3 linked regions of the Kluyveromyces lactis genome follow. The protein of the gene in region 2 interacts with the protein of the main gene of each other region in a pairwise test. Links are inferred from orthologs where the notes say so. Each region holds a gene or a part of one and is shown on either strand. Other genes may lie near its edges.

What was found.
Region 1: the proteins of KEX2 (region 2) and KEX1 interact in binary tests that used the Saccharomyces cerevisiae proteins (3 or more experiments, as listed by UniProt). The link is inferred for Kluyveromyces lactis from reciprocal best matches to the Saccharomyces cerevisiae genes KEX2 and KEX1.
Region 3: the proteins of KEX2 (region 2) and FTH1 interact in a protein complementation assay, tested with the Saccharomyces cerevisiae proteins (2 studies listed by BioGRID). The link is inferred for Kluyveromyces lactis from reciprocal best matches to the Saccharomyces cerevisiae genes KEX2 and FTH1.

The regions. Positions count from the first base shown.
Region 1 is NC_006042.1:922,872-926,828, reverse strand, and holds KEX1 (serine-type carboxypeptidase), read left to right. Parts: upstream 1-1,487; coding exon 1,488-3,416; downstream 3,417-3,957. Other genes in the region: ARO8 (bifunctional 2-aminoadipate transaminase/aromatic-amino-acid:2-oxoglutarate transaminase), read right to left, coding at 1-260; KLLA0_F09977g (uncharacterized protein), read right to left, coding at 3,489-3,957.
Region 2 is NC_006040.1:1,671,804-1,675,894, reverse strand, and holds KEX2 (kexin KEX2), read left to right. Parts: upstream 1-1,286; coding exon 1,287-3,557; downstream 3,558-4,091. Other genes in the region: iron-sulfur cluster assembly protein NAR1, read right to left, coding at 1-488; YTP1 (Ytp1p), read left to right, coding at 4,023-4,091.
Region 3 is NC_006042.1:2,588,588-2,591,844, reverse strand, and holds FTH1 (Fth1p), read right to left. Parts: upstream 1,843-3,257; coding exon 520-1,842; downstream 1-519. Other genes in the region: MFM1 (Mfm1p), read right to left, coding at 2,379-3,257. UniProt on the Saccharomyces cerevisiae protein: High affinity iron transporter probably involved in transport of intravacuolar stores of iron.

The sequences.
Region 1 (3,957 bases), on a different chromosome or scaffold from region 2:
TTCTTGGTGATATGAATCTGACAAGTATCGGCATCATCCCCAGATGGTTTGGCACCGATACCGTTGGAGAAAGGTGGTAGAGGAGATTCCACAGTCAAGTTATCCCATGGGAAGTAATCAGACATTGGTAAACCACCACCCAAAAAGATCAAGTTTGGATCATTGAAATAATGTATAATTGACTTCAATTGAGAAGGCATACGACTTTTAGTCTCATCACTGTACAAGTGTGAAAAATCCTTAGCAACACCTTGAGTCATGATGTAATATGTATTCTCGGTGAAAGCTTTTGGTTCAATTTAGATTGGTTTGATGCTAAGCCAAGATAATATATCTAAAGTATATAAGAATTACAAACAGTGTATAAACCAAATCTAACTGTGTAAACTGCACAAACTAATCCTTCATAACGCGAATGTCTATTCTATCTTTTCATCTCGCAGCTGCTTATATATACACATATTAACATATACATGAGGAATACTGTATGATTCACTACAGCATATACCATACTGGTAAATTTCTCAACTGAAATTGAAAAAAAAAATTCCAGCTGAAAAAGTAACTTTGGAGAAATTTGACTGCAATTAGGTACAGACTTTTAAGTTTTAGAGAGAGCATACTGCGTAAGACTGATAATAGAGGGAAAAAAATAAAGTGCTCGAGATAAAGGTTGTCACTTAACGATAACGACTGGAATGGCTACATCTTTACATCGTAATATCTTTAGATCTTGTGACTATTCTTCACAGGGTTTCTAGTTTTAAGTTGATTTCTGTAATTAAGGTGTCAATGAGAATATGCCATGCAGTGGTCAGCATCGCGGTAAGTAACGGTTAGTGATGCTGTTATTTCCGAGGCAAATGTCTTTGTTATTTTAGGCATTGGGTTTCCTGGTTTGACTTTTTGCCCTGTCGGTGTTTCGTTTTCTTTTTTCAACTACGGTAAAGTACGGTTAGTTGCGGTAACTATGGGGTAGTTGCGGTATTGGAGAGTTCGATCCATGACTCAGGGCCTATTATGTGACTTCTTACCACGGAAATTGTGACCCATGTATTTCCTTTTGTCGTTGACAGGTTTTCATGTTAACAGGCTTTTGGTATTAGTCACGCGATATATATATATCACGTGACTGTTTTTTGCTTACATAGATTTTCTTTTTCAATGGAGGGATATACTGCCAGTGCCAGTTTTGAAAGTTTCGTGTATATTAAAGCTAAATAAAGGCTTGGTAAAAATGAAATTACTTAGGAATATGGTTTTGCTGGGGTGAATCAACGTTAAAAACGCCTATTTGGTTCAGACCTCGCTGTTTATTTCAGTTTGTTAGACATTTATAGGGCCGTATTTGTGTTATAAAAGGTTGCGCTGTGACTCTCGCTCGATATTTTTTATTCTCTTTTTTATCATTTCTCTCTTGCTGATATTAACAGTAAGGTTTCATGGATGAATCACAACAATCATTAGAATATAATTAGAGTGCTGTCATGTCTCTTTGGCTTTTCTTTGTTCAAACGGTTCTTCTCATTCAATGTGCATTGGGAGGTCTTCCAAATGCCAAGGACTATTTAGTGGCCCCCGATTTGTTGCCTGGGTTAAATGACGTTAAAGATAAGGAACTTATCCCGGAAATGCATGCAGGTCATATTCCCTTAGATGATGGTGATGATGATGATGATGATGATGAGAAAAACTATTTCTTTTGGAAGTTCCATGACCTCGCAAATCAGACGTCTGTCGTCGCATCCAAAACTTTAATTATATGGTTAAATGGTGGGCCTGGATGCTCATCTTTAGATGGGGCTCTTATGGAATCAGGTGCGTTACGGATCGATGACGACGGCGAAGCCTATTTAAATCCGGGTTCTTGGCACACTAGAGGTGATATTGTGTTTGTGGATCAACCTGCTGGTACTGGCTTTTCCACGGTAGGTGATTCGAAATATGATAAAGATTTGAACCAAGTTTCAAAGCATTTCATGAAGTTTTTAAAGAACTACTTCAAGATTTTCCCTGATGATTTGGATAAAGACCTTGTTTTGGCAGGAGAATCGTATGCTGGTCAGTATATTCCATTCTTTGCTAATGAAATCCTAAAGTTCAACTCGAAATTGGACAAAGACGACAATGAGGAGGAAAGCCGAAGTGGTAAGAAGTACAATTTAAAGAGTCTGTTGATTGGAAATGGTTGGATTGATCCTGATCAACAATCCTTATCTTACATTCCTTTTGCTTTGGAGAATAACTTAATTTCAACGAAGGCTGATTACTTCCCTGATTTATTAAATATGCATAGTCGTTGTCAAAATTTAGTCAATAATAATGGAGGTAAAAAGTTCTCCTTTGATGAATGTGAAGATATTTTGACCAAAATCCTTTATTACACCCGCAGAAAGACAGATGAAAATGGGAATAAAGTTCCTTCAAATCAGGAGTGTACGAACATATATGATTTTAGATTATTCGATTCCTACCCAGCTTGTGGAAGCAACTGGCCAGATGATTTACCTAGCGTTTCTAAATTCTTGGGTAAGCCAGGTGTGATGGATTCGTTACATTTGGATGTTGATAAAGTCCCACATTGGAGAGAATGTGACAGTAAGGTGAGCAGTCATTTGAAGAACAAGAACACCCAGCCTTCGATTCATTTGTTACCCAATCTATTGAAACACATGCAAATTTTCTTGTTCAATGGTGATAAGGATATCATTTGCAACTCAAGGGGTGTGCAGGATTTGATTAAAAATATGAAATGGAACAATCATACCGGATTTACTAATGATGCCGAATACTATGACTGGCAATACTACGACCAGTTTACAGATGACACAATTTCTGCAGGTTTTGTGAAGCACGAAAGTAATTTGACGTATGTTTCCGTGTACAACGCATCGCATATGGTCCCTTACGATAATGCTTTAATCAGCAGAGGTATTATGGACATCTATTTGAAAGATGTAGAGTTAGTAGTCGGAAAAGACAATCAAGATGATGTTATTATCTCAAAAGACTTCGTTGTACACTCGGACCACTCAACAGGAGAAGAGGAATTGTCAGCTGATCAAAAACAAGATGAAGATGAGAACTCGCACAAGGATAGACACCGGAACTCTGATAAATTCGAAATCGCTGTCATACTTCTGGTCGTTTTCTCAATTACCGGTACCATTGCATATTATTTCTTGCGTGAACGTTTCAGAAAGCAAATACATGCTATTCTAATAGATCCGGAAAATAGGCCACCTTCATCAAACAAATCCGTTGCATGGGCAGATGACATAGAAAACCAGGGCGATGATTTTAAGTTATCCATTGACGAGGCACCCTCTACTGCGGACAAACCAGCAAAAAACAAATCTGGTTATACAAAGGTGCCTAACACTGATGACGATTCATTCGAACTTGATAACCTATAAGATAGAGATATTTAAGTAAAAACATTACTATATCAAACGCTTAAACTTGAGTTACAGTTTTTTTTTGGTTGTTCATTGTAGCTTGAAAAGCTTTTTCAAATGTCCTTGTATAAACCACGTCTTTTTCCTTTTATTTGGTGATATGAGACTATTCGTGAGACTGAAAAACGATCCTTCATGCTGTATCGTTTGTACTCTTTGTGGAAAAATGGAAGATGAACAAGAAGTTACCGATGAATCTACTAGAGATATGTCTGTATTCATCGCATATTGGTGTTTACGCCAGAATATAAGGATTTTCTTGAACAAATGTTTGTAACTATTAGTCTTCAGTGGTGGTCGTTGTGCTTCTTTATAAAGGAGAGCAGAAAGTGATTCTTCAGCAGAAAGATAATTTTGCTGCCTTTCTAAGGTATTGATAGTATCTAATGCTAGCACTTGTGCCCGAAATTCTATCAAGATTTCTTCAATTTTCTCGGGGGATACGTTCACTCCTAGCATTTTCAAATAGTTCAATTCGTCAGCGTCATTAATATAAAAG
Region 2 (4,091 bases):
AGAGGGCCTTCATTTTCCGGAACCCTGTCTTTTAAGGTTGCGTTTATCCGGGATATTGAAATAGACCTTCCAAACTGGGTACCAACAACATATTTCGCATTGAACTTGGTTTTCATGAAATTTTGGAAACATCGATCGAGGTCTGCAAGGCACATAGAGTAATAGTCAGCCAACGAAAGTCTACATTGAGGAGATATGCTGACAGCTAGAGATCGTTCATCTAGTTCTTCCAATTCGCTCCATTTTTCTAAGAACACCTTATGGCTTTGCTTCGATAATAAAATCTCTTCTGATGAAGTAATGCAACCAGCACAGGCTAAACAGTCTTGCAAACTGATCGATACCTTCTCAGGCTCACTAGATTCAATGCCAACTTCAACTTCAAATGATGGTTTCTTCTCAACCTTTTGAGGTTGAGCTGGTTTCACACACGCCAAACCTGGGCTTATAAAATCGTTCAAATCGGCATCCCTAAGTAACGCACTCATTGTTTCTTTCTATCTTAAAGATCCTCGAAAAAGAAGCTAAGCAGTAGTAGTGTTTTCAAATAAAATAGTCCTTAGTATGCAACTTGAATCGTTTTTGGCTTTGTATTCTGAACGTTCTTATATGGGCTTCTCTTATGCTACTCTGAGTCCATCACAATGAAATCACTTACTAATAAATCCTCTGTCTCAGTTTCTCTTATAATTTCTTTTGAATTGACTAATCAATATGTCAACATCGCAAGTGTCATGAATAACATATTCTCATTCACGTGACTAAAACTTGATAAAGATACCCGCCTTTGATTTTGTTTACGGCAGAAACTGAGAACAATTATTCTCACCGCCGACATGCTTTCGGTTTGGATTTCTGCTTTAGCATTGAGGTTGAAAATTATATTATTAGATCAGTGCCAAAACTGTGATGTTTTATTATGAACTGAGACATCAGTCGAAAAAGTGGACATAAGAAAGAGATATAGTGAAAGAAATACAAATAAACCCTGCACTTGGCTTTGCTAGAGGTTAAACATAGAAGACCTGTTAACGATTAGGTACGTTTAGAAGACTTTCTTATCGAATCGGGTTGCTCTTTCATGTGTTACACGTCTTTTATACAGCATAAAAATAAAGGCCATTCCAAAAAGTTGTACAATACTAAGGGTCTAGTACAGCTAGACAAATTAGGTGCAATCTCTAAATCAGGATATCAGCTCTACGCCGGGCAAGTCATTGAATAAGATTTTCCACTTACTTATTACCTTTTTCCCTTAATATTCCTTAATTTTCAGAACGATAGTTATGATCCTATCGTCGCAGCTCATGCTAGCTTTAATAGCAGTGTCAGGATACGGTAAAGCAATGCAAGTTCCTAAAAAAGACCACGAAAATAGGCAGTATTTTGCAATTGAATCTTATGATGATGTAGGTAATCTACTAGCGGAACACAGTGACTGGAGTTTCGAGCACGATGTTCGAGGCCTTGCCAATCACTATGTGTTCTCGAAACCGTTGCAGAGTTTGGGTAAACGAGATGCGATTGACACAGGATATTCAGAAAACATCATTGATTTCCACGATCTACCCCCCGTTCAGTTACACAAAAGATTGCCTATTGGGGATTCTAGTATGGAACAAATCCAGAACGCTAGAATTCTTTTCAATATTTCTGATCCATTGTTTGATCAGCAGTGGCACTTGATCAATCCAAACTACCCTGGAAATGACGTTAACGTAACTGGTTTATGGAAAGAAAACATCACTGGCTATGGTGTAGTGGCAGCATTGGTGGATGATGGATTGGATTATGAGAACGAAGATTTAAAAGACAATTTCTGTGTTGAAGGTTCTTGGGATTTTAATGACAACAACCCATTGCCGAAGCCAAGGCTAAAAGATGATTACCATGGTACCCGCTGCGCAGGTGAAATAGCGGCTTTCCGTAATGATATTTGTGGGGTTGGTGTCGCCTATAACTCTAAGGTATCCGGTATCAGAATTTTGTCAGGCCAGATCACAGCCGAAGATGAGGCTGCTTCATTAATTTATGGACTAGACGTTAATGATATTTACTCTTGCTCGTGGGGTCCATCTGATGACGGTAAAACTATGCAAGCGCCGGATACATTAGTAAAAAAGGCAATCATAAAAGGTGTAACAGAAGGACGAGATGCAAAAGGTGCACTATATGTATTTGCGAGTGGGAATGGTGGTATGTTTGGCGACAGCTGCAACTTTGACGGCTACACAAACTCTATATTTTCTATCACTGTAGGTGCCATTGATTGGAAGGGCCTACATCCTCCATATTCTGAATCATGTTCTGCTGTAATGGTTGTTACTTATTCTTCGGGATCAGGAAATTACATAAAAACAACAGATTTAGACGAAAAATGTTCCAATACGCATGGAGGCACTTCAGCTGCAGCTCCTCTTGCAGCTGGTATATATACTTTAGTGCTGGAAGCTAACCCGAACTTAACATGGCGAGATGTACAATACCTCTCAATATTGAGCTCTGAGGAAATAAATCCGCACGATGGAAAGTGGCAGGATACAGCTATGGGAAAGCGTTATTCTCACACATATGGATTTGGAAAACTTGATGCATATAACATTGTCCATATGGCAAAAAGTTGGATCAATGTAAACCCACAAGGTTGGCTTTACCTTCCTACAATCGTTGAAAAACAGTCTATCAGTAATTCAGATGAAGTTATAGAATCCACAGTCTCAGTTTCTGCTGAAGAGTTTAAACAAAATAACCTAAAAAGGTTGGAACATGTCACTGTAACTGTCGATATAGACGCACCTTACCGTGGACATGTCTTAGTAGATCTAATATCGCCTGATGGAGTTACATCTACCTTAGCGACAGCTAGACGTTTAGATAAAAACCGCTATGGTTTTCAAAATTGGACTTTCATGTCTGTCGCGCACTGGGGCTCTAGTGGAGTTGGAAGCTGGAAATTAAAAGTAAAGTCTACGCATGATAATGAAATTGTAACACTCAAATCTTGGAGATTAAAGATGTTTGGAGAAACTATCGATGCAAAGAAGGCCAAAGTGATATCATATGGAAATGACAAAGAGGATGCTGAAGTTAAGAGTACCGAATCTAAAACCACAACTCCCACTGCACAAACTTCGTCATTCACGACGACTTCTGGAGAAGAAACATCTGGTGCAAATAAGTTGCCTCGTCCCGAACAGGCTGCCCAGTTATACTTGGCAATTTTTGTCATTGGTGCGATAGTCATCATAATTTACTATTTGTTTTTCTTAAAATCAAGAAGAATAATCAGAAGGTCTAGAGCAGAAGCTTATGAATTTGATATCATTGATACCGACTCAGAATACGATTCTTCGATTAATCAAACTGCAGAGTCTATATCTGGTGAAGTAAATGATGATAACCTTGAAGACTTTAACTTCGACATAAATGAAGAAGAGCTCTCACCCCGTGAAAGTTCAAGCAATAATCCTTTCGGGAATGAATCTCTGGAATCTTTCGACAATTCTCCTGATCATACAAGCAATTTACTAGGGCAAAACTCGATTCCCAACAAATAGAAAGACATAGCATAACCAGTTCATAAGAGATAAATCTCAAAATACTGACGTTTTCATATAGAAAGATAGGTTTTTAGCCTCGAAGTCATATCGCTTGATGTCCAATGATACAAAATGAGCTAAAATGGATGGAATTGTTGCATCATCAACATACTGTAGGCGAATCTAGGATTCATTTTCAATCATGAAATAAGAAGTAACAATTTCCGCATTCTCAAAAAAATGAATCAGAAGTGGAACATAAAAAAAAACATGTAAAACTAGCATAGTTTAAGGTGATTATAGTTAATGGGATATAAAGGATTCTGACATGTAGTTCATTAACAGGGACAGTTCCGACTCACGATTTCACTGCAACGATTAAAAGGAACTCATTCAATTGTGATTAGGGTTAAGGATCTATTATCTCAGTTATCAACTACTTCTATTTTGACGTCGTCCAAGAGTTTAGGGTGGAAGGGTGTAATGACAATGTCTCGTAACTATCTGTGTCTTTTGACCTGCATGTCTCTGGCGGCTGCAATGAATATGGAT
Region 3 (3,257 bases), on a different chromosome or scaffold from region 2:
TACACACTGAGTGAGACATTAAACCTGCTGTGTGCACAGATATTATAGTTATGAAGTGAAATCTTTGATTTTGTATAACAGCGGCATGTACATCGGGTTTTCACTGAGTGAAGCTGAAGTTAGAAACAAGTGAACCGCTTTCGGTGTTTATTGTAATATATACTGTCCCGCTACCCCAGATTTTGGTGATCATATCTTTATTTTTTGCTCATTTTTTTTTGGCCGAATTGAAGGACTTTTCGAATTTAAGTACAAAAGGGAACATTGTATTCAAACAAACGACAGAATATGCCAAAAAGAAATATGTAAGTAATCATGCAGCAGCCCACATTGACATGCCGTCACCTTTAAAAACAGTCAATACTTGTTATAATCCAACGTAATGTGTTATATTACAACAGCAATTTCTAAATAGTATATAGTATTTCTCTTAAGTAACTTTTCCAAATGGAGCAACTGCGTACGCAAGAAAATGATTCGTTTACATGCAACTTTGAAGAATAATAGCTAACTATTTCATCACTGATAACCTTGAGCAGGCGAATTAGAATCTAACAGGAGGCTAGAGCTATTGTGAGTATCCGATGAAGCTCTCGGAATATCAGGCAAGTTTTTGGTAGTGGAAGATGAGTTCCAGCCACTCGTGGATGATTGAGATTTGAGTGCAAGAGACTTTTCAATAATAGATAATCTTTTGTTCATTCTCCTTCTTTGTAGACTGACAGGCAAAAATGGAATATATCCATGTTTCTCTTCGAGCATCATTAGCTTTATAACAGCGATAACAATTAACCAGTACATAATATAACTGCTAACTGAACCATAGGTAGCTGAGTTAGTCCATCCAAAAATGGCGGTCAAAATCATCCAAAATCCATCCCTTTCACCGTTACAACAGTTAACATGCCATACCGAACGCGAGATATCATAAGAACCTGGACCGTTTCCAACTTCGCTCATATCTTGACCGTTACAAGCATCAACATACTTCTGAAGTTCAAACTGCCATACACCCTTGGAGAATAATCCGCCGGCAATAAGATATAGGAAACATGTTGTTACCACAAGGCAAATTTGCAATGAAAACGACTTTGAGTATTTGAAGAAGAATACACCGAAAATTGCCGAGATCGCCGTAGCAGAAAGCATCGATAGTGGAATAGAGGTTAATGGACTATCGATACCGATACCACCAATGAAGACGACAGCCTCTAGCCCTTCTCTCAAAGAAGTAACAAATGGTAGGATGAATAATGAGTATTTCTCGCTGAAACTTTTAGCTTTGCTTTCGCCATTTTCCATCGGAAGTAATTTGTCTGAGTAAATGATGGATGCCAATTTAACTCTGAACTTCTCTCTAAGTTTACCCATTCTTAAGAAGAACAATCCCATAACTGAAATGATGACAGACGCAATAACGCTTAAAACACCTTCATAATAATGTTCACTCATAGACCACAAATCCGTGCCAACATAATAAAATGCCACAATAAATCCACCACCAATAAACATACATGCCAAAAGGCCTAACAAACCTCCAGAAATGATTTGAAGTTTTAGTTTTTTATATAACTGCTGGTTATCAACTTCTAGACCTAGATTTGGAGAATCGGAGTCATTAACTCTCAATAATAAATCTGAAGCTTCTTCCTCTTGAATGGTAACCGGGGCAGCATTTTTTGAAGACTCTGTATCGGATTCAGCGGTGGTATCATGCGAGAATAAGGCTTGTTTGACGATTGTCAACAAGATGGAAACGATTATGATGATCTCTAACGACTCTCTCAAGAAGATGAAAAAAATTTGAAACGAGAAATAATTCTCAAAACTTGACTTTGACATCTTGAATAAAAGATCCTTTATACTAGCTTATAAGTTTCGTCGCTTACGTGGATGTTGTCAACCAGAACCAGTTTATAGCCCGTTATCAAATTTCTATAATGATTCAATCTCAAATGTAATAATAGTATTTCTTTCCAGTCTTCAATTGTATTTTTTGCACCCCATTCAAGAGCCAGGACAAAAACGACCTTGATCACGTGATACAATCGTTCTCCCGGGTAATGAAGATACGTTAAACTTAACAATAGGTTGGTACTGCATATTAACATACAGTCGTGAAACATTCTAGAATATCGGACAGTTTCAATCCGTTTCACTACTGCTTATACCTTAATATCATATTCTGCCAGGTGTTTTTCGCTGGAACAAAGATAGAAGCAGTCGAGTAGTATGTATTCTAATGCGAATTGCATTAGATGCTTATATGTCACATTATATATACACAACATTCATAAAACATTTAAGAGCTGGAAAATCCAATGCTACCCTAACTTGAGTATTTACACAATACGTTAGGAGCACTTATTCGAATAGTTTTATTTTAGCGTAGAGCTTTTTCCATGACTCATTAACTGAACCTTTTCCAACTTGTGTAAATGTTTGACGGAGAATGCAAACAGATATGCCATTAGAATAACCCCCAATGTCGATACCACGGGGAATCCAACGTTACCTTCCTCTATAAAGTTCTCTAAGTTCATACCGTAGATTGAGGCAATAAAAATAGAACCGGCTAACGAGAGTAAACCAATACTGAAACGCAATCCAAGTAACATCAATTGATTTCTATTTGAATCAAGAATGATATTGATTATTTCTTCTGTAGTTTTGATATTGGACATTGTATTTCCTACAGTTTGAACAATTTCATCGACATGATTGTAATAAGTTTCTAAAAGCATTTCAATTTCTGCATGATCATGCTCTTCTCTAGGCTTCCCTAATTGTTTCTCAGTCAAGTACATTTCACACAAGACATCATCTTGCTCTAATAGTTCTTCAATCATTTCTCTCATCAAGAAAGATTTTTTGTGAAAGACGCTAAGTTTCTTATTTTGAATCAAAAGATACCGTAGCTTATCTCTAGTAATACTATATTCTAAGTCTTGCAAAATACCCGTTGAAACATTCAGGTGAACCTTGAGCTCTGCGTTAAGGTTAGATATAGCCGAAATAAAAATGGACTCTACTGCTCTAAACTCGTAAGGCAAAGGATCTTTATTCACAACATCTGGTACCTCAAAACCGCTTCTATTTTGTAATCTCAGTTGTAAATCCGCAATGAAATTCTGTTGAGAAACCGAATCCAATTTTATACCCATCGAATCGAAAAGAATTAACATGTCTGATTTTACCAAAGCCCTAATGTTCAATATACTAACCAAAATGCTATTCTCACGCACAAGAACACTGGG